4 linked regions of the Kluyveromyces lactis genome follow. The protein of the gene in region 4 purifies or fractionates together with the protein of the main gene of each other region. This does not show direct contact. Links are inferred from orthologs where the notes say so. Each region holds a gene or a part of one and is shown on either strand. Other genes may lie near its edges. The genes, in order: GLO3, SEC28, COP1 and SEC21.

The links.
Region 1: the proteins of SEC21 (region 4) and GLO3 purify together in Saccharomyces cerevisiae (affinity purification with mass spectrometry; 5 studies listed by BioGRID, with this or other methods). This does not show direct contact. The link is inferred for Kluyveromyces lactis from reciprocal best matches to the Saccharomyces cerevisiae genes SEC21 and GLO3.
Region 2: the proteins of SEC21 (region 4) and SEC28 purify together in Saccharomyces cerevisiae (affinity purification with mass spectrometry; 5 studies listed by BioGRID). This does not show direct contact. The link is inferred for Kluyveromyces lactis from reciprocal best matches to the Saccharomyces cerevisiae genes SEC21 and SEC28.
Region 3: the proteins of SEC21 (region 4) and COP1 purify together in Saccharomyces cerevisiae (affinity purification with mass spectrometry; 8 studies listed by BioGRID). This does not show direct contact. The link is inferred for Kluyveromyces lactis from reciprocal best matches to the Saccharomyces cerevisiae genes SEC21 and COP1.

Annotation. Positions count from the first base shown.
Region 1 is NC_006041.1:615,086-620,331, reverse strand, and holds GLO3 (ADP-ribosylation factor GTPase-activating protein), read right to left. Parts: upstream 2,202-5,246; coding exon 654-2,201; downstream 1-653. Other genes in the region: MRX3 (Mrx3p), read right to left, coding at 2,880-3,629. UniProt on the Saccharomyces cerevisiae protein: GTPase-activating protein for the ADP ribosylation factor (ARF) family. Involved in retrograde vesicular transport from the Golgi to the endoplasmic reticulum.
Region 2 is NC_006039.1:797,772-802,540, reverse strand, and holds SEC28 (coatomer subunit epsilon), read right to left. Parts: upstream 2,722-4,769; coding exon 1,840-2,721; downstream 1-1,839. Other genes in the region: KLLA0_C09218g (VOC family protein), read left to right, coding at 1-363; GET complex subunit GET2, read right to left, coding at 579-1,529; ARE2 (sterol acyltransferase), read left to right, coding at 3,332-4,769. UniProt on the Saccharomyces cerevisiae protein: The coatomer is a cytosolic protein complex that binds to dilysine motifs and reversibly associates with Golgi non-clathrin-coated vesicles, which further mediate biosynthetic protein transport from the ER, via the Golgi up to the trans Golgi network.
Region 3 is NC_006042.1:478,112-483,888, reverse strand, and holds the start of COP1 (coatomer subunit alpha), read left to right. Parts: upstream 1-2,206; coding exon 2,207-5,777. Other genes in the region: CRR1 (putative glycosylase), read left to right, coding at 216-1,706. UniProt on the Saccharomyces cerevisiae protein: The coatomer is a cytosolic protein complex that binds to dilysine motifs and reversibly associates with Golgi non-clathrin-coated vesicles, which further mediate biosynthetic protein transport from the ER, via the Golgi up to the trans Golgi network.
Region 4 is NC_006041.1:1,172,049-1,178,081, reverse strand, and holds SEC21 (coatomer subunit gamma), read right to left. Parts: upstream 3,576-6,033; coding exon 741-3,575; downstream 1-740. Other genes in the region: NPC2 (sterol transporter), read right to left, coding at 1-281; CCR4-NOT core subunit CAF40, read right to left, coding at 3,861-5,126. UniProt on the Saccharomyces cerevisiae protein: The coatomer is a cytosolic protein complex that binds to dilysine motifs and reversibly associates with Golgi non-clathrin-coated vesicles, which further mediate biosynthetic protein transport from the ER, via the Golgi up to the trans Golgi network.

The sequences.
Region 1 (5,246 bases), about 560 kb from region 4:
CCACTGATACCGCTAGTGTTGCTAGTATTTCGGTTCAGCAGGACTTTCATTTACTCCTTTCTTCACCTCTTTCTTCTCGAACTGTACACGAGATATACCTCCGACATGACAAGATTTGTTTATGGCCCATGACTACGCGTTAATATCTTACTTCGAATCGACCTTAATCTTCTTGTCTTTCAAGAACATATCATTCTTTAAATCAACTTTCTAAATGCTACTTAATCAATAATTGTCATGATCACTGGATTGCATAATCCTTATTTCGCTACTCAAGCTACTAAATAATCATTAAATAATACGTAAAGCACAATAGACACTTGGTATTCCTTGGAAAATGTAGGTGTGTTGAAAAATCTCAAACTCTGACTACACACTGGGTGTTTGGAATGATCCTATATTTATTATTATCCAAATAATGGCGGTATTCATATTATGGTACAACGAAGAGATGTGTGACTGAAAAGGGTATCCTATTAAGGACAAGCTTTCATCTATTTGTTTATTTGTTTCTATTACAATAAAGCCATAAAGTTTTGTTCAGATTTTTTTTCATAGAAGGGAACTTATGGGGAACTTATGGCACTGATACTATTAACGTTAACTCCTTGATGAATGACTATACTTTATCTTACAATAAACTAACATAGGAATTAATTTCTCATGTAATCTCTTAGGTAGTTTCCTAGCTTTTGCGCTCCTTGTTCAACAGCGTTCTTCAACAGGTCAAATTCGTCATCAGCACCAGACGTGAACTCCATGAAGTTTCGTCCGCCAAGAGAACCGCTTCTGTTTGTTCTTGTTCCATTTTGTGGATTCAATGGTCTTCCAAATTCGTCGAACTGATCTTCGCTCTGGCCTTCGCCAAAGTATGAGGCTGAAGAAATAGATGTGGCATTACTGAAGTTCTGTCTGAGTTTTTCTTGAGCTTCTTTACTTGCCTCGTCATCGTAGCTTCCACGAGAAAACACCTGGTCTGAAGAGATACCCTTTTGTTCTCCGAATTTTTGGGCAATCTTACCTGTGTACTTTGGACCAGAGGCAGCCCTCCTTGATTCGTTAGTTTTGTTTTGTTCCTTTTCTGCATTATTGGAAGTCATACCAAACCCAAGTTTAGCCAACTTTGGTTTTGCCGCATCTTTGCTTCCAGTTAATCCTACATTGGAAGCATTGATTTGATCGAAAGTAATACCATCATTGTATCTGTTGGACCATTCGTCGTCCTCCGCGTCTTCGACATTGGTAGATGGCTTGGTTATTTTGCTGCTAGAGCTGAAACCAGATTTTTGTTGGAATGGCGCAGGAGTGGCATCGTATATGGAATTCGATAAATTATTGGAGTTAAGGGAAGTGGTGGCGAGACTTGAGGCCAATTCTTCCTCTTCCTTGGCTTCTTTTTCGAATTGATCAAACAAATCAGCATCCACCTTCTTGGCTGCAACCGGTTTCTTTGACTTACGAGAGGAGGAAAGGATGGAATGTTTCTTTGCTTGAGAAGAGCCTGCTGATCCTGTCAAAGTAGTTCTCTTAGTTGTAGTGGATCTAGCACCGTTGCTGGTTTTGTTGGCAGAACCACTTCCGGACAGAATAGAAGAACCATTCCTATTGCCAGTATTGGTTGGTGTTAAATTTCTAGGAGATGACGTCAAAGATATGTTACTTTGGTTTACAGGCTTTTCCCAGTTTGAGAAGAAATCATCAACGCTGTTGCTCTTTGAAGAACCAGAACTGCCCCCTGTGAATTCTTGTTCATCTTCTGCTGAAAATACAATTTCACCTGGATGTTGTTCAGCGTCTCTAGCCACTTTTTGATTCAAATGGCTCTGCCATTTCTTGGCTACCTGGCTTGTATATTTAGCCATCCGGTTGCTAGAAGAACCCAAATATTGTTTGCCGTTGTTCTTTAAGAAAAAATCCTTTGCCTTATCGTTACCACCAAGTTTGAACCTTCTCAAATTGTTGACAGTCCATTTGTCCAAATTACTTGACTTCACAAAAGTAATATGGGTACCCATATTTCTGTGCTCACCGGAACAATCGATGCAAAGAAGAACACCGAACGGAACTGAAGTCCAGGTAGGATTTTTGGCGCCACAGTCGAAGCATGCCCTGTTTTCAGACTTGGTTGTCAGTCTAGCAAACACTTTAGTCACGACTTCCTTGTCACAGTACACTTCTCCCGATTCGTCAATGCTAGCCATGGTTTAATTAAAATAAATCCTCTTGTAATGATAATGAAATGCTGAAATTCCGGAAAAAAAAACACCCTTGTGTTAAGTTAATAAGTTGATGCTAAGATACGGCAATAAAGATTCACGTTCCTGTAGCAGATTATCCTGGTAAATTCAGATCGTATCTCAAAAGCTAGATCAATCGCAAGAAAAAACTCTTAAGTATCAATTTTAGAAAACAGAGTACTTAATAACACGCTTTCTTACCACCTTAATAATAACTTGCGAAAAATACTTCTGTAAGTTCGGCGTGTCCCTCCCGCGCTCAAAGTGTGTACAGTAGTCTGTTGCACCTGTTATGATGTTACCAGCAGTGTAAAAAACTTAACTAAGACCAAAAACTACGTTCCTTAACGGTCCAAAATTTGAATAACCGTTCTGTCCTGTGTTAAAACCTTTTCTGTTTAGAAATTCGATCTTTCAATTTAAAGATGTCAAAGAAAATAGCAGATATGAATAGTCTGTATTATTATTACCCGGACCAAACAATACAATAGTGGGAATGGGATGATGAATTAACTGGTATTCATCATGTCCGAGCACCAGTACAATGCTAGCATATGGTATACTTAATATTGAATGTTGTAGTATGTGAACTAAATATAATATTATTGGCATATATAACGGAGACCTTAAGGTGGTATTAGATCAGAATATGTTAATCCATGAAACGTATTTAAACCATTTAGGTTCCACCAAAATACACGTTGCAGTAGCGTAGACGGTCGGTTTAGGGTTGTATATCCAATTGGGTACGCTCTTAGCCACTAAGGACTTTACGGATCCCAGTTTCGTAGAAGGATCAAGAGGTGGTGATTCCAACGTTCCTGTAATGATACATTTTCTTCCCTTGGTTTCAATGACCTGGGCGTTGAGCACAATGGTGGAATTAACTGGAACATCCTTCTGGAACGATATGTCTAGAGATGCAGTGACTCCACGCTTACTGGGAAGTGTAGGGAACCCGCAGAAACACAAAGCCTCGTCTAATAGCAATGAAAGTACACCTTTATGCACTGCATTCTTTTCGTTGCCTAAATTGTGGCCCAAATGATATATGACGTGGATCTTGTTCTGTGCATTATCTGTAAACACCACCGGATCAATTTCAAGCTTAGTTGGTCCGTAAAGCAACCCTTGACCTACGTGATAATCTCTATGAGGTACAGGGATCTTCTCCGATTGACGATGCATCATATAATCAGACGACTCTTTAAGTTTCTTGACCCATTCTGTGGCCCTAAGTTTATCCAATACATCGGTCCGTTGGTCCTGTAGCGGTCTATGTAACGTTTGTAGTGCTGATTCATCCAAATGCCATGGCTTAACGAAATATCCGAAGCCCAATGTGAACCCCGTTAAGGGTAAAATAACGTACCTGGAAATCTTCCCGCTCATAATTCGACCACTGAAAACAAAACTCTCAAACTTGGAAAACTTGCTTCGGGATATTCTCTCAAACACGCCAGGTATAATCAGTTACTTCTGGAGCAATGCTTGATGCTAACCATTTAAACCTTTCGGATAGTTCCTACCCTACCCTACCCTAAACCATTCCAGACTTTGATAATTATTGTTTTTAGACCTAGGTGGAGCGGAGTAGAGAGAGGTGAGGTGGACAAAAAAAACAACACGCACCAGAGTGTTTCTAACCACGTGATCTATCATTCCCAGTACACCGGGTAAATATCCATTAATTCGTCATCCCGCATTTCTTTTCCGGTTTTCCACTTTTCCTGTGGGGAAAATAATATTGTCCTCCCCCCACATGAATTGTTTGAAAAGCGGCGTGAATGAAAATTGCAATTGCCTAGCCCAAATCCATATCCAGTATCTGATCCGTATCCTCACTACATTCGAATTCGAGTTTTCCGCCAAAAATTCATCCCAACAGTACTAGAGATACCTCTAGTTCTGAACAATGTTTTCTAATTTCTTGATCATCTTTTTTTTCCATCTTTTTTTTTTTTTTTTCTCGTTTTTTCTTCGGAACATATTATTTTTTGCTACAAGTATACAAGTTACATACAAAACTGGCTGGGAGTGCTTTGAAAATAAATTGCTACTGGAAATAAACAAAAATATATGCTGCGGGGAAATTTGAGGCAAGGGTATTTTCCTTTTGGTTCCAATTATTCCAGCCATGGAAAAATGATATATATCATCGAGGACCACTGGCAAAATCTACTGCGGCTTTCTTACTGTAAGTTTACAAGTCCGCATATTTAGTTTGCTCTTTGTTCATGAAGACTCGAAACTCATCTGATCTTGAATGCTCGAACTACTATGGAATCATAGCAATAGTATCTCCGTTGCTCCAGCCTTCGACATAATCGACGGTTGCGTTTCAGCCCATTCGCGTGGGCTGGGCTATTGCAGCCTCATCTTCTCATAACCAGCCATAATTCCTCCTTAGCTCTCGAAGAAGATCGCTGGTGCGCTGGATTATTTCCCACCTGATTAGGTGTTTCTAATACGTAATTTAGTTTCATTTTCTTTTTTTTTTCCTATGCGGTTCGTGTATTTTGCCGTGATTTCCTTTTATGAAACTGGGAGTCTGCTTAAAAAACAACCTTAATATTCACTTAGGCTGACTCTATTCATTCAAGCAAAGGCAGTAGTATAGTCCGGCTCCTTTCATCTCTGGCTTTTGCTTGGATCGTCTCGCTACTGCAAGCAAATAGTGATTGAATTTTTTTTGATTCATTTTTGCGTTGGAGACTATTATTAGTCCCTGTTAGTAGCCGGTAGCGCTTAACACCACTGCAAAATGAAAACTGGATTACTTCCGTCAACGTTAGCTATGTTATTTACACGGCTTCACGGAGAACCTGAATTGAAAGACAGTATATATAAGTAGGCTCTGAAGTATATACTTTTCTCAAAGATCGTGTTGTCATGGCTGTTAATACTTTTACGTCAAATATTTTTCCATGATCTTCCTCCCATATAAAAAAGGTTCATAACAACCAAAAACCTATAATAGTTTTGAGAGGGTTTATCCTCATATAGTTT
Region 2 (4,769 bases), on a different chromosome or scaffold from region 4:
TCCAATGATCTTGAGAAAGCAAGAAAATTCTACGATGCCGTTCTTGGCGTCATTGGTGTTGCTCCCGCACAGGATGACAGTGATGGAAATGGACACAAGAGGTTGTTCTATGCTAAAGGCGACTTTTTCCTTTTAGTCACTCAACCAATTAATGACCAAGCTGCCACTCCAGGTAACGGTTATACCATTGGTTTCAAATGTGACTCTGAAGAAGAAGTTACAAAGTTCCACGATGTTGCAGTTGCTAACGGCGGTACTTCTATCGAGGATGCACCTGGTTACCGTCCATCGGGCTTGTTCTTGTCTTACGTTCGTGACGTCGATGGTAACAAGTTGTGTGCCCTTTACCAACCACCAAAATAAGCATTTCGTCTTGGTGTAGTGCTTTGCTCTTTTGTGTATGATATAAGTAGGCTTTAAATAGTTCTATGAATGAAATGAAAACATACTAAAGCGTTCTTTTAAGTGGAAGTACAACACATATTCATGTTTAAGGGAATAAACAATTGATAATTAGAATTATATAGTTTTGATCGTTAATGAACGAGTTTCCATTTTCACAACCAAAAGATACTTTTCTATTGAATCCCTGCAATCGGTGGTTCTATTGGAACTGAAATAGGGAATGACGAATGATAATATTTCATGACACCGAATAACACAAGAACAAAGCATATATCTGTCACGTACATTGACGCTACGTCAAAATACTCTAATGCAAGACCGATCTTTCCTTGAATGTTCCTAATAGGTAAAATGCCTTCTGGTATCATTGTCAGATACTTCAAAATGCCTCCTGCGTTTTGGGTGGCCGTAACATTGTTATCTCTTTGAAGTTTCTTCAACATTTGATAGTAGATAGAGATGAATACTATTTCTAGTCCGGTAAAGATGGAGAAGAAGTTCGATCTTTCCACTATTTGGGATAACAAGTTGGAAGCTTGAAGAACAGTGGGATTGGGATGCATGATAAAGTAGACGTATGGTGCAAGAAGAGCCCATTTTATTAAAATGATGTAGGATTTCAATTTGGACACTTTGAACTTGTAATACTTCAAGACTTTCTCATCAACAAAATTAGGGAGCATCTGTGTAGCAGAAGCAGTAGTATTCGTATCGTTGTTTAGCAAAGAACTGAAAAGGTCCGGTGTACTGGCATCTGGTGATCCATTTTGGAATCCTCCACCTTGTTGTTGCATCTTAAGCAACTGTTGGAAAAGGGCAACCTCAGGATTCGTTTCAGCGGCATCAGTTTCAGAATTGTCCTTGTTACCGGGAATACTAGAAAGTAAATCTTGAATCTCTTTGGTAGACTTTTCAACTTCTTCGTCACTCACATTGGATGATTTCTTGTTACCTGACGGAGTAACTTTTGGCTCATCAAGAACAGATGTTGAAGACAAAAAGCTATTCTGCTGTTGACCAGTGATCTTGTTCAACCTGCTGGAAGCACCTCCGTTGGAAAACTTCTGTTGCCTTCTTTCCCTCAACAATTTACGTTTCTCAGCATCAGACAATTCAGTAGCCATCTTGTAAACTCCAAATTCTGTGTGAATTACAGCTCAATTCGGGGGAAACTAAAGTAGAATTAGATCGACAATCAAAATAAGAAGATCAACTCCCCTGAATATTCGAACTAAATACAACGCAGGTGCCTTGTAAAACGATACCGAGTGACTGGTTTCAAAACTAACCCTTCACATTGTATAGGATGTTTGATCAATCCGCTTTATCTTGACAGTTCCCACGAAATTGATGGGAAAAAGAACAATGTTACCCGGAAAGTATCGCCAATACCAATACTATTTGCTACTCAAGATCTATTTGATATATATAGATTTAGGCTGTGTACTTTGCCACAATTTGATCGAAAGTCTTGTTATTTTCAAGGTCGGCAACACATAGTGGGTGAGATGGTTTCAATTGTTGCAATTCCGATCTCAATTCGTTTGCATTTCCACCAGATAAGATGGTGTACGTAATCTTATTTGCAAGTAGATCAGGCTTGTACGTTTGTGCTTCTTGTTTGATATCGTAGAACTCGCTTTCTAAGAGGTCGATGATTGCTTTGGATTCAGGCAAATGCGATTGTTGGAGGTGTAAATTCAATAGGCCTAATTGAGTCTTCCAACTTGGGAAAGTTTGAGACAACTCTTCAAAGAAATAGAAATTGGATCCAGTGATCTCTTTACCCTGGTTGAAGTTGATGTATGACTCTGCAAGATTCAAAATTATTTCATCGTCGTTCGATTGCTCCTGAAGTGCTTGGAAATTTTCAAACATAGTCGAGGCAATGGTTGGTTGATTATCCAACAAAGTTATTTGGATGGCCGTTAACAGTAGTTCCGGGGTTCCTCTTGTTTCATCGGAGTCAATTCCTTCAACGGCAACCTCCAAAGCAGTTTTAAACTCGCCCTTTATAGTCAATGCACTTGCTAATAAGTTCAATGCAAATGGAGATCTGCCCGCCTTTTCAACGGTTTGTTCTAGTGCAGTGATTGAGCCTGTAGGTTTGCTTAAAAATTTATAGTAAGCCTCAAATACAGGCCCAAGTGAGCCAGAATCAGCACTACCCTCACTGAACTGGGACAATGCAATCAATGATCTATTTCTGTAGTAAGTCAACGCCTCATCTTCAGTTTTGTTAAACTTAGAAACTTCGTTCAACGCTTCTTCATAGTTACCAGTATAAAACTGCTGTTTTACAGTAAAATAGTCCATTTCTTCTGAGTTGATATTTTTTTCTCAACAAATCTGACGTCGGAAAACTTCAATTAACCGTTATCGTGTATTGAAAGCGACTTTACTGGCTCATTAACGGGTCTATCTCACACGTATCCTTTAATATTGAGAGTCCATATGCTATCTTACTTTGATCCACCATGCGAATTGTCCAAAACTGAAAAACTGACAGGATCAGGGTAATGGATGTTTTTCATTCACGTGATCTTTTTTTTTGTATTTTTCCTTTCTCGAATAATTCTCGAAGGTGTGGATCACCATATGGCGTTTATTTAAGGGATTGAGAGTATTTATCAGAAGAAATTCAGAGCCAGTTACTTTGGACGTTTAAACGATACGGGTTGGAAAAGGAAACAGATTCAGTAATTAACAGTACACTTCTTACGACCATTGGTTAATTCCGGATTTGAGATTTATATTTAAAACGTCTGAGTGAGAGAGAGAGGTTAGCAAGAATTTTTTCCTTCTTAAGACGAATCACGACTTGGCCTAGATTTATCTCAGACTAATTTCATGGTGAAGAGTCAATCCACGTTAATATATCATAAAAGATTTATTTAACTGGATCTTTAATTAAAAACCTGTCATAATGTCCGGTTCAAGTGACAGTTCACATGATACCACCGTTAAGGATATAACTGAGGATGAGCAGTTCTTGAGGATAAGAAGGCTGAACGACAACAACCATGGGAAGAGGAAGTCTTTGCATGAGGAACAGTTGGAGGATGCTGTTCTCGATGAACTTGGATCTCCGGACGTTCTTTTCAACACGGTCCAGCCTAACGACACGGTTATCTTTAAGACTAGAACCACCTCCGAACAAGGCGACAAACATCTGCATGTTTTCATGCAGAAATTGAAGGTGAAGGAAAAGAACAGATATAAGAAGGATACGAATGAAATGCAGTCCATGACACGAGATGTAGACTGGGGCTCTAGAGGTAGTATCATGGATGAGATGGTCAACAATCCGCTTAGATCTCATTTCAATGGGCCAGCAATAGACGAGAAATATTCTAGAGTAAAGGCAACAGCCAGATCAAATACGGTGAGGATAGATGACAATAATACTATTGAAATTGCAAATGAAACTATAGCAACAGACTTTTCTGGATTCTATGTCTTATTTTGGATGGCAGTTGCGTTCACCATCTGCAAAGTGACATTACAATATTACGAGGAACATGGTGATTTTTCACAGTCAATTATCTTGCGATACATGACCATGAATCTTTGGAAAGTTGCGTTATATGATATCGCAATGTACCTGACTAGTTATTTTGCATTCGTCATACAATATTTGTGCAGAAAAAATGTCATCAGTTGGAGACGTACAGGGAGAGATATTATTTCAGTTTATGAGGTGGTATTTCTATTCTCCAATATCTACTTACCAAAAAAGACCTTCCATTTCAACTGGATCGCCCAAATATTTTTATTTTTACATTCATTGGTCTATTTGATGAAGATACATTCTTATTCCTTCTATAATGGTTATTTGTGGGATATTTCATCAGAGTTGGATTATGCAACATCTACCCTAAAGAAACTGAAAAAACTCAGTTCTCCACAACCAGAACTTGATATATTGCAAAAGTCAATAGATTTTTGTGAGTTTGAGATAAGATCTCAATCATCAACGGTCAGGTTCCCATTTAATGTCTCAGTGAAGAACTTTTTCGAGTTTTCTTCGTTCCCAACGCTTGTATATCAGATAGAATACCCACGCACAAAACGTATAAGATGGTTTTACGTTTTTGAGAAATGTTGCGCGATCTTTGGTATCATCTTTGTCATGATGGTTGTTGCACAACAATTCATGCTGCCTGTTATTTTGAAAGCTAAAATTTTGGCAGATGCCAACCTCACATTATGGGAAAAGAACCTGGTATGGCCGAAGCTCTTGTTGGACTTGGCACCAGGTTTTATTATGATGTTTTTGTTGGTCTGGTATTTGATTTGGGATGCAATTTTAAACTGTGTGGCCGAATTGTCCTGTTTTGCAGACCACCATTTCTACTCTGATT
Region 3 (5,777 bases), on a different chromosome or scaffold from region 4:
CTTCGCAACAGATTGTCGCACGTCAAATTATGAGAAATCAAGCCAACCTATAAAAGCAGAAGGAGAAGGATCTAAAAATCACGACTATCATGTTCAAGAATTTACATCCGTGATCAATGACACTATCATTGGCAGCTTGTCTTGATCTACTACACCTCAAATTGTATCTGTATTCATAAACAAAAAAAACGCAGAAATTGGTTACTAGCATCGCAATGCTTTCTACTATTTTGTTATGGATTTCCTGTTGCACAATTTCAACTTTAGCACAAGAAGCTACTAGGTATTTCCCAGAAACTCCAATAGGCTGCTCTCTTGAAAATAATTGTCCTGCAGAATGGCCATGTTGCTCACAATTTGGACAATGCGGTACGGGTCCTTTTTGTGTTGGAGGTTGTAACCCAAGATTATCTCACGATCCAGGTAGTTGCTTAGGACAACCAGCATTATTACCACGAATGTCGCCTAGCTTCTGGTTGCAAAGCTCACTGGAGCAAAAACCTGCTCTAAAAAGTAGCTTTCTGCCTAGAGTACAACCCAGTATGGACGTTGCATCGAATGAAGGTGGAGAAAAGGACTTGAATAATAGAGGTATAGTTAATTTCGCTAACTTCCTAATATCACCACAAGAACGAATCATTAAGAAAATGTTAAGAGACTATCATTTCACGTACAGTGGATTTGTTAAATACGATGCACCTGGTCAATTGACTCTTGCTATGCCTAAACATACTTCGGGAAGTTTAATATCATCCACAAGATCTTTTCTATACGGTAGAGCTACCGTAAAAATGAAAACAGCTAGAGGTCGCGGAGTTGTTACTGCAGTGGTATTAATTTCAACTGTAGGTGATGAAATTGATTTTGAATTTATTGGAGGAGAATTACATCATGCTCAATCTAATTATTATCACCAAGGTGAATTAAATCACACAAGGATGGAAAAGCTAGAACTAAGTTCTGACAGTTTTGAAAATACTCATATTTACGAAGTCGATTGGGACCAAGATAGAATCAACTGGATTGTGGACGGTGTAGTAGCTAGAACATTATACAAGGAAGATACATGGAATGAGGAAAAACAAAGATACGAATATCCACAAACACCAATGAGATTGCAAGTGTCGGTGTGGCCAGGTGGAAGAGAAGATGCTGACCCTGGTACCATAATGTGGGCTGGAGGGCTCATTGATTGGGAAAACTCGCCCGATATACTTGAGAAGGGTCAATTTTATGCAACTGTGGAATCAATAGCCGTTACACCTTACGAAAACAAATTCTGGCCATCAATAGTTGATGAACTAGAAAGATTACATTTACCTATTGATGCTAATTCATTGTTAGATATTACTTACGATTACAATTATGACAAGTTTAATGAGCATACGTGGTTTGAAGATTCAGTCATTTGGAAGAAGGGCAAATTACCTTATTTATCTTCCTTGGACAAGAATGGCCTAAATCCGGGAAGACAGCAACAAAGTCTTTTGGTAGGTAAACAATTGAAGCAAGAGCAGGGAGATGGGCCGGATCAGAGTCCTTCAAACAGGTTTATTCAAGACACTAATAAACCATCGGAAAAAAATCATGAAGAACAAGATTTGCTCCTACGAAACGCTCTGCAGTCACGCGATGCTACCACAAATGGGGGTTCCAGTCACAATAACAGAAATCCTATCAAAAGATTGCTTAATATGCTACATTAATCAGTAAAGGTTGCCCAGATGTTCACATCTACACTATACATGTATAGATATATAGACCTATGTATACCACTCTCGTATATGCTATCTCTTCTAGCATTCTCTTACGCATAGAATCTGTAGAGATGCGTCTGGCACAAATTCGGGTAATTATTACCCTACCATTACGTCCTTTGCATACTCTTCGGATTCTTCCAATTTTCAAAAAGGACAACTTTTCAAATAAAACACGATCTTATTTCAAAATAGTAAGCCATATGTGTATTTTAAGTAATTTTATGAACCTTGAATGAAGCTGACTTTGGCTAATAAACAACGATCAAGGTACTTTGTCGTCTAATTGAGTTGTCAGTGAGGACTAACCATCGAAGGAAAGCTTCAATCGTAACCAATTGGTATATTGTTAACTGCAATTGTGACGTTTTCTTCCGAGTTATTCTTCTTATATTTCTCACAGTTTTTACTCAGATTTAGATCGAAGTCTTGAAAAGCTTGCTTTCATCATGAAGATGTTAACTAAGTTCGAATCAAAGTCTACCAGGGCGAAAGGTATTGCTTTTCATCCGTCTAGGCCTTGGGTTCTGGTAGCACTTTTCTCATCAACCATCCAATTATGGGATTACCGTATGGGTGTTTTGCTTCACCGTTTTGAAGATCATGAGGGTCCGGTACGTGGCATTGATTTCCATCCAACGCAACCTCTTTTCGTTTCTGCAGGTGATGATTATACTATCAAAGTATGGTCTTTAGAGAGCAACAAGTGTCTATTCACATTGGACGGCCATTTAGACTATGTTCGTACAGTATTCTTCCATCACGAATTGCCATGGATTATTTCCAGTTCCGACGATCAAACCATCAGAATCTGGAACTGGCAGAACAGAAAGGAAATAGCATGTTTAACTGGCCATAACCACTTCGTAATGTGTGCCCAATTCCATCCAGTCGAAGATTTGGTGGTTTCTGCTTCTTTGGATGAAACCGTTAGAGTTTGGGATATTTCAGGGCTAAGAAAAAGACATTCCGCACCAGGCACTCAATCATTCGAAGAACAAATGAGACAGCAACAGAACTTACTTGACGGAGGATTTGGAGATTGTGTGGTGAAGTTCATTTTAGAAGGCCACACTAGAGGAGTAAATTGGGCTTCTTTCCATCCAACTTTACCATTGATCGTTTCCGGTTCTGATGATCGTCAAGTGAAATTGTGGAGAATGAGTGCCACAAAGGCATGGGAGGTCGATACTTGTAGAGGTCATACCAACAACGTTGATTCCGTCATTTTCCATCCTCAACAGAATCTCATTATATCAGTTGGTGAGGATAAAACCGTAAGAGTATGGGACTTGGACAAGCGTACTCCAATTAAACAGTTCAAAAGAGAAAATGACAGATTCTGGTTAGTGAGAGCTCACCCAAACCTAAATCTGTTCGGTGCTGCTCATGATTCTGGTATTATGATCTTTAAGTTGGACCGTGAAAGACCACCAACTGCTATAAACCAAAATCAGTTGTTCTTTATCAACAGGGAGAAACAAGTCCAAATGTTTGATTACCACAAGAGAATCACTTCTCTACCTTATCTTTCTTTGAAAAACATCGGCAAGACCTGGAGTTCATTTAGAAGTATGTCTTATAACCCATCCCAACATTCCGTCCTTGTCAACTCCTCCGAAAAGGAAGCCAACAGGTTCAGCTTATGTGTCTTACCTAAACAACCTAGTGGAGCTGTTGAAGCTAGCAACGTCATCTCTGATGATGGTAGTTTTGCGATCTTCGTTGCTCGTAACAGATTTGTGGTGCACAATGGCAGCACTAATAGCTTGGAGGTTCGTAGTTTAGATAACAAAACCACAAAGTCAATCAAATTAACTGATACTGTTAAAGACATCACATTAGCTGCTCCTGGTACTGTTTTGATTCTATATTCTCATTCTGTGGTAATGATGGACGTCCAACAAGGTAAAATTCTTCATGAATTATCTTTAAAGAACATCAAGTATACAGTGTGGTCTCAAGATGGCCAATATGTTGCATTGATGAGTAAGCATACATTGACAATCGCAAACAGAAAACTGGAAATCGTTACATCAAACCATGAAAGTATTAGAATCAAGAGTGCAAGTTGGGATGAAACCGGTGTCCTAATTTATTCAACATTGAACCATATCAAATACTGTCTATTGAATGGTGATTCTGGTATCATTAAAACCTTAGAAAGAACATTATACATCAACAAGGTACATGGCAAATTTGTCTATGCTTTGAATCGTGAAGGGGAAGTAGAGATTTTGACAATTGATCCTACTGAATATCGTTTCAAGAAGACTTTAGTCAACAAAAATTTCCCTGAGGTATTGCGTATCATTAAAAATTCAAATTTAGTTGGTCAAAACATCATATCTTATCTTCAAAAATCAGGCTATCCTGAAATTGCGTTACAATTCGTGGAGGATCCTCAAACAAGATTTGATTTGGCTACACAATACGGTAATTTGACAGTTGCTCTTGAAGAAGCTGAGAAATTGAACAATGAACTTGTATGGGAAAGATTGGGCAAAGAAGCTTTGATCCAAGGTAACACAGATATCGCTGAATTGGTATATCAAAACACTAAGCAGTTTGATAAACTGTCTTTCCTATATCTACTTAAGGGAGACAACTCCAAACTGGCAAAAATGGAGTCTATTGCTGAACATAGATCAGATATTTCCGGCTTGATTCAAAATACCTTTTACAATAACTCAGTTCAGAAGCGTGCAAATGTCTTTTTAAATGCAGGCTCTGCTCCTTTGGCTTATGCAGTGGCAAAAGCTAACGGCGACGATGACCTTGCCACTTCCATTTTGGAATCCGAAGAAATTGATGAGCAAGACATTTCCCTACCAACTGAACTCAACTCCTCCACAAATGTAAAAACCCCTGTCATTTCTGCTCCTTTGAAAAACTGGCCGTTAAAGCAAGCTGAAGTCTCATTCTTTGAAAAAGCCCTTTTGGGCCAAATCGAAGATCTTGAAATTTCTGATGATAAGGAAGAAAATGTTTCAGATACTACCCAAAATGTTGGCCAGTTTGATTTAGGAGAACAAGATAACCTAGACTTTGATGATGAAGCTGTTGGAGAGGAAGAAGATGCTTGGGACCTAGACCAAAATGATTTGGAATTAGACGACGAGTTAGAGATCGAAGAATCCGAAGTGACTGAAGAACAAGTAGATGAATCAGAATTGCCAATGTGGGTTAAAAATTCAAAGCTTCCAGCAGTTCTAGTAGCCGCTGGAGCCTTTGATGCTGCTGCCCAAGCCTTGAATAAGCAGGTAGCCGTTGTAAACTTCGAACCCCTCAGGACACCATTCATTGATATATACGATGGTGCAAGAACTTATATGAGTGCTACACCAAATGAATTACCTTCAATTATTGGATACATCCGAGCTGATGCCGATGAGGAGGACAAATCTAAAATACTACCATTTGTTCCTGGCGTTTCTGTAGTCACCACGAAGTTGAACGAGGGATTCAAAGCATTTAAGGCTAACAAATTGGAAGTTGCTATCGAGCACTTCCGAGACGTTATCTATGCCATAGCTTTGTTAGCAGTTACTGACAAAGAAGATGAAACAACAGCACAAACTGCACTTGCAACTGCTCGTGAATACATCTTAGGTCTTTCTATGGAGCTAGAACGTCGTGCTCTACCTGCCAATGACGTTAAGCGTAACCTGGAATTGGCAGCATACTTCAGCAGGACAAAACTTCTACCTGTGCATAGAAGTAATGCTTTGAATGTTGCTATGACCCAATCATTCAAAAACAAGAACTTTGTATTAGCATCCTATTTCGCAGGCGAATTCCTCAAGATTATTACATCAGGTGCCCGTGCTGACCAAGCTCAGAAAATCAAAGCAAAGGCTGATTCGATGGCATATGATGCCATCGAGATTGATTTCGATCCTTATGCTGAATTTGATATCTGTGCAGCTTCACATACCCCAATTTACAAAGGATCGCCATCTGTAGCAGATCCTTTAACTGGGGCGAACTATCACGTTTCTGAGAAGGGAAAGATTGATC
Region 4 (6,033 bases):
TCGATGTCGATGTATGCACCTTCTTCGATAGTGGTTTGTAGGACACCTGCAGCAGCTATAGTCAAATTCTCACCTCTTTGTGGTGGGTTGGGGACCAAGTTTACTTGAGTAACATCAAGCGATTGAGATTGGTCAACATCACATTGCAATAAAGGAGAGTCACCAGGGATCGGTTTGTTCGCTGATGGTGGTTCTGGGAAACTTAATCCGAATAAAGAAGCTGCATTAGCGTACGATGCAGCAGCGCATAATAAGTAACTGGTTACAACAGAAAAACGCATCTTGGTGGTTCAATCAGGGTGTTTTAGAGATAAGGGGAGTTTGCTTTAGCTTTTCTTTTTTTTGTTTATGAAGGTTTCAGGACTTGATATAATAACGAGAGGCCTTAGTGAGTCCTTGTAGATATCTTAAAGATCTTGAATTGGTCTATGAGCAGGTATATAACTTGTAAAGGCTGAACTGTTGCTCTTGCTTTATCTTTCTTTCCCTTTCCTTTTTGTTGTTTCCCATGCGTGATGTAAACAAAATGTTTCGAATTCCAACAAACCTTTAAAATTGTGACTTTCTCATCTCGAAGTCTCAGATAAGGTCTAAAGGATAAGGGGTGAACAACGAGCGGCTGAAATACGATTATCAGACTGAGAACTTCGTTATATTTACGGCTGAGAAATACTTATGTTGCTATCTTAGATAGATATATATATATATAGGTTTTTTTTTTGTTTTCAAATGTACATATATTATATCAAGTTGTTTGATAAGTCTTCTGCCAACGATTCCTTGTCGGATTTCACTAGAGCCTTAATTGCAATACCCTTACTTGTCTTGATCATCTTGATGGAAAGCAGGGCTTTAGTGTTGTCTAAGATACATTTTCCTGAAAGTTTTAGAGTATGTTGGGTGGCATCGTGGGATACTATTTGTGAGTTTTCCAAAGGTAAACCACCAGCGCTAATGACTAACTTGTCGATGACTTCTTGTAGTGTGTTAGTTTCGACAATGTTGTAGACAGAGACGGATTCATAAGGTAGTTCTTCCAAAGAGGTGGCAAAATTGCTTACGAATGATGGTTTCATGTAGTCACCGGGACTCAAGAACAATGAATCAAATTCGTATTCATCTTGGAACCCTTCGTCATCTTCGAATGGCAAAGAGGTAGATGGGTCTAATTCCTTGGATTGGAATTTCAACGAGTTGCTGAATCTTTCTACAATGATATCATCCTTGTTCTGTGTTAGTTTCTTGAACGATACGTAACATGACTCTCCTTCATTGGGTAAGAGTCTTTCAATAGGCAAAACAAATTCCTCTTGTTCGTCAAGTAAACCCTCTGATAATCCTTCTTGTTGGCATACCACTTCAACGTTATCAAGCGCAACGTCCTTCAATGTGTTAGTGATATGGAATTGTAATACAACGTGCTCGTCAAACAAATGCTTGATACCCTTCACAACGAATTCAGCTTCAATTTCCGTTAATGGGACAATCTTGGAAGAATGGATACACTTGCCAAAGGACTGGAATTGTTCCAAGGAGGACATTTCATCCACGTATTTGGACAATAGCAAATCTTCTTCTTCAGATTCCAATGAAGGTCCATTGAAGCTATTGTCATCCAATCTATCACCCTTTCTACCACCCTTTTCAGTACCGTTACCATTTCCGGCACCACTGTTGGAAGATTCTTCTGTATGGTTGAAGGCTTGCTCTTGTCTGCGTTTCAAATCCAATGCCTTCTTCTCGTCTTCGGAGTATTTGGCAACTGACGAGACGTCAAATGGAGTCTTGAATGCCTCTTGGCCTTGTGACAAATAGTGTGATAGTTTTGATTCAAGAGCAACAACGTCATAGGTAGAAGTTGGGCGAATGAAATTTTGTGCGATATTGGAAACATCTTTCTTGGACTTAACCGAATCGATGAATTGCAAAGCAATGGATGCTCTATCTCTAACTTCATCATCTGAATCAGTCTTGATTTGAGTCAATAGCTGTTCAATACTTTCTACTAACTCAGGGTCATTCTTAACAAGTGCAAATTTGGAAAGAGACAACACAGCAGCAGATCTGATGATAGAATTCTCTAGAATAACTCTATTGTAAATGTGTCTCACGTATAATGACGGGTTCTTAGTGGTTGGACCCTCCTTACCCAATAGATGTAAGATTCTAACCAATATTTCATTATATTCACAATCTTCGATGAAATCACATAATTCTTCTAAAGCTTTTTCCTTAGATTGTGGGACGAATTGAATTAAATCAATTAATGCTTCCACGACACTATTTTTGAATTGAAGACTGCCTTCGGCAGATTGTAAGGATTCCATCAAGAAATGTAATATTGTATCACATTCCTCAGGGAAATTTAGAGAAAGAGTTCTAATAGCATCAATAATGATGATCTTGAAATCGTCATTCACCTCGTGGATGAACTTGGTAATTGTCTTAATCAAAGAACCAATGTTCTTGTCGGTACCAGTCTTCAACAAGGTAGTGATTGTGTAAGTGGAAATGTTTCTGTTGCTATCGTTAACAAGAGATTCCAATTGTGGATTACATACCACAATTTTCTCTGGTGAAACCATAGAAATCTTGTTCAACAAACGCACTGCAGCAAATCTGGTTGTCACACGAGGAGTGGACAAGAATCCTTGCAAGACAGAAACCGCTGCTGCAAACAAATCGTTAGGAACCAAGTTGGATAGAGACGCAGTAAGCTTACAAGCTTCCAAAGCAACAGCCTCGTGTCTGCTTTGCAACCAATTAGCTATTAGTGGTAAGAACTGGGGGATGGAGTTAGGATCCTTCAAAACCAATTGGTGCACGAATTTAACCATTTGTACTTGAGCCAATTGATTTTTCAATGGTGAAGAATGACCGGCAAACTGTTGGATCAATTTGATCAAAGCCATCTTATCGTGATTCTTCAATTGGTACAACAAACCCAATGCATGGTATTGAGAGATATGAGACGTAGTTGGATAATATCTACTGTTCTCATCTGGATATGGCAACTGTTTCAAATCACCAACGGCTTCCTGAGTCTCATTAGCAAATCTCTTCACCGTAGTTTCAGCGATTGGTAATAAATGGTATGAACTGACCAAAGAAGCAGAACAAATAGATGGATGTTTGCTAACCAACGAATTTTTCAATAATCTTTCTGCAGAAAATGCAGTGGACTCATCCAAGACACGGATCAATGCTCTAATAGCATTAGGCTTCACTAGATCTGAACCATTTTGAACATCTTTCATAATTGAAGAAGTAGCCATCAAGATATCATCGGAGATTCCACACAATTCCTTAATAGCCACGTAAACGATTTGTCTCAAAGAATCGTTAGGGTGTTGGAACAATTTCGAAATGGAAAAGAATAAAGCAGTAGCTTCTTGTCTAGGGAAAGTCTCACCATGCGACAATAGTTCCAACAAGCTTGTGATCAGGGTACGGCACAGTTTAGGATTCACAGGAGATTCATTGAACCGATTCAAACAATCCTGATAGATCGCCATTTTGTCTGGCAAGGACCCACTGTGTGGGTCCTCAGACTTCTTATAAGTTTGTGCAGACATGCAATTGGCAGTGCTAGGATACCTTCAAATGACGTACTAACCTTTAGTAGCCAATTTTGAGCCTATTAACCTCGTGTTTTATCCAATTCTTTTTGCCGTGTGGTATGGTATATATTTATATTCATAATGTTTTCAGTTTGCAAATCGGTAGAAGTCCTTTGGAATGAAAAAAAAAGTGAAGCGGGTGTGTGAAAGTGAGGGTAACACTTGTTTTTTAATTATGATATATATGTATATATATATATATATATGGATATGGAGATATATATGATATAGCAGGCAAGATCACTGCTGCTGTTCATCTAGAGTCAGGAGTAGTTGTGCAAGACATCTCTTGGTACCTACATCGTCCTGTAGTGCTTCATTGAAGGTGTTATCTCTTAGTTGTTGCGGCAAAACTTGTTTCAACAATCTTCTGGCTTCTAAATTATCCGATAATCTTAGGTAGCATCTTACAACATGTTTCAATAATCTTCCCGGCACCTGTTGTTGGGACATGTGCTTAAACATAGTTGCCAAAACTTGTGACACCGCGTAGAACCGTTCTGGGGTCGCGCATACGAACTGGAGTCCGTTATCGTCTAATAATATTTTCTGTAAGATGAAGATAGCGACGATCTTCGAAAGTTCTGAAGAGTTTTCCATGATTCTTAAACATAATGGGATAATATCTGTCCTTAGAAGGAAACTGATCACTTCTGCAGAATCGTTTTTCACTAGAGCACCGATGACACCTAGTGAAGTTAGCCTTAAATATTCAAAAGTTCTTTGGTTTGATGTCGTAGATAAGAATGGGAAAAGGAACAACGGGATGTGAGCCTGTAAGAATTGAGGCCTGATATCTGGGTGTGATGCGACACATTGTAAGAGCACCAAAGCGTTGCATACGCGGTTTGATAACTGGTTTGATAATGCAGGAGGTGAAAGAAGCGGATAAATTGAAATTATTTCCTTTAGCAACGACGTCATCACACCGAAACTGGACCACAGCACGATAGCCAAATCCTCATACTGTTCACGTTTCTTACCTAGTTCTAGAAGCGCTTGTTCTTTGCTTGGCCCGTAAGTGAGCTGGCATATCCAATGGTAGACATTTGGATCATCTAGCGCATGTGTTATTCCTGCTGGTGTGGGACCTGGCCCAGGAACTGAACTTGGTCCTGCAGTTGGCCCTTGGCCCATCCCAGGCATCTGACCTGGAAGTTGGTTGTTTTCTACTACTGGGTGGGGCATTCCTTGTTGCAAACCAGGAGGCATATTTTGGGGTTGCTGTTGTTGCTGTTGGCCCTGGGTTTGATTTTGACCCTGAGCCTGCCCTTGAGGCTGGCCTTGACCCTGGCCTTGGTTATTTGGGAAGTAAGGTTTCAATTGTGGGAAATATTTCCTGCGGGTTTGTTCCGAGAACACATTCCCCTGAGCTTGAGCCGCTTGAGCCTGGGGTTGCTGTTGAAACATGGCAGATGATAATTGCGGGTGTTCTACCTGATGCACAAGCTGGATGATGTGTCCTTCCCTGAGACAATGCTGAATATTGCCTATTCTACATACCATATATATACAGAGATGCGAATTATCAACACTTTTAAGTTGAAAAGATGTGCTAAGTTGTGGAAACTGAGGTTGTTATGAAATCCGGGTAATAAGACAACGAAAGTTTAAACACAAAACAAAACACGCCCAGACATTGTTCAATATGACGAAACACTGAATAAAAGAAGAAGCATATTAATTATTAAGTATTAGACAATATATAAAGATGTATATTAAGTTGGTGATAGTAGGAATAATAATAGAGGAGAATGGGGTTAAGATTATAATTTGGAATGTTAGAATTACTTTAATAGTTGATTAAAAATAAAATAAAAAAAGCGGAAGCTTTTTTTGTTTTTATTTTAACTTTAGTTAAACAACTTCTTCAACTTACCCAACCATTTCTTGGAAAAAGATTGAGATTCCTTCTTGACATCTTCAGCTTTGGCTTGAGCTTGTTCTTGAGTTTCCTCAGCCTTAGCTTGAGCTTGTTCTTGAGTCTCTTCAGCTTGTTGTTGAGCTTCTTGAGCAGTTTCCTCAGCATTTTGTTGAACTTCTTCAACCTTATCTTGGATAGCTTCTCTTTGTTCTTCGATCTTGTCAGACATTGTTAACTGTATGTGTTACTTAGTTGTTGTTTCTTGCTGTTTTAAAATATGTCAGACAGAACAATTAAAATTATCCCAAAAACAACCGCCAATGGTATGGGAAAAGGCATCGCATCTTAAACTTTGTTTTCCTCTATTTATATGTGTGAAACTGGGAGTCCGGTATTAGAGCGAGGGCAAGGGATCTCAGGGATCATCCCAGCACCGAGACACGGACATTCACTCGGACATGGAAGTGGTATGACATTACATTACACGGTCCAGAGGGCTAATCCTAAAGTAGCGTAGACGTTTCCTACTTTTAGAACGCGCCCTCCGCT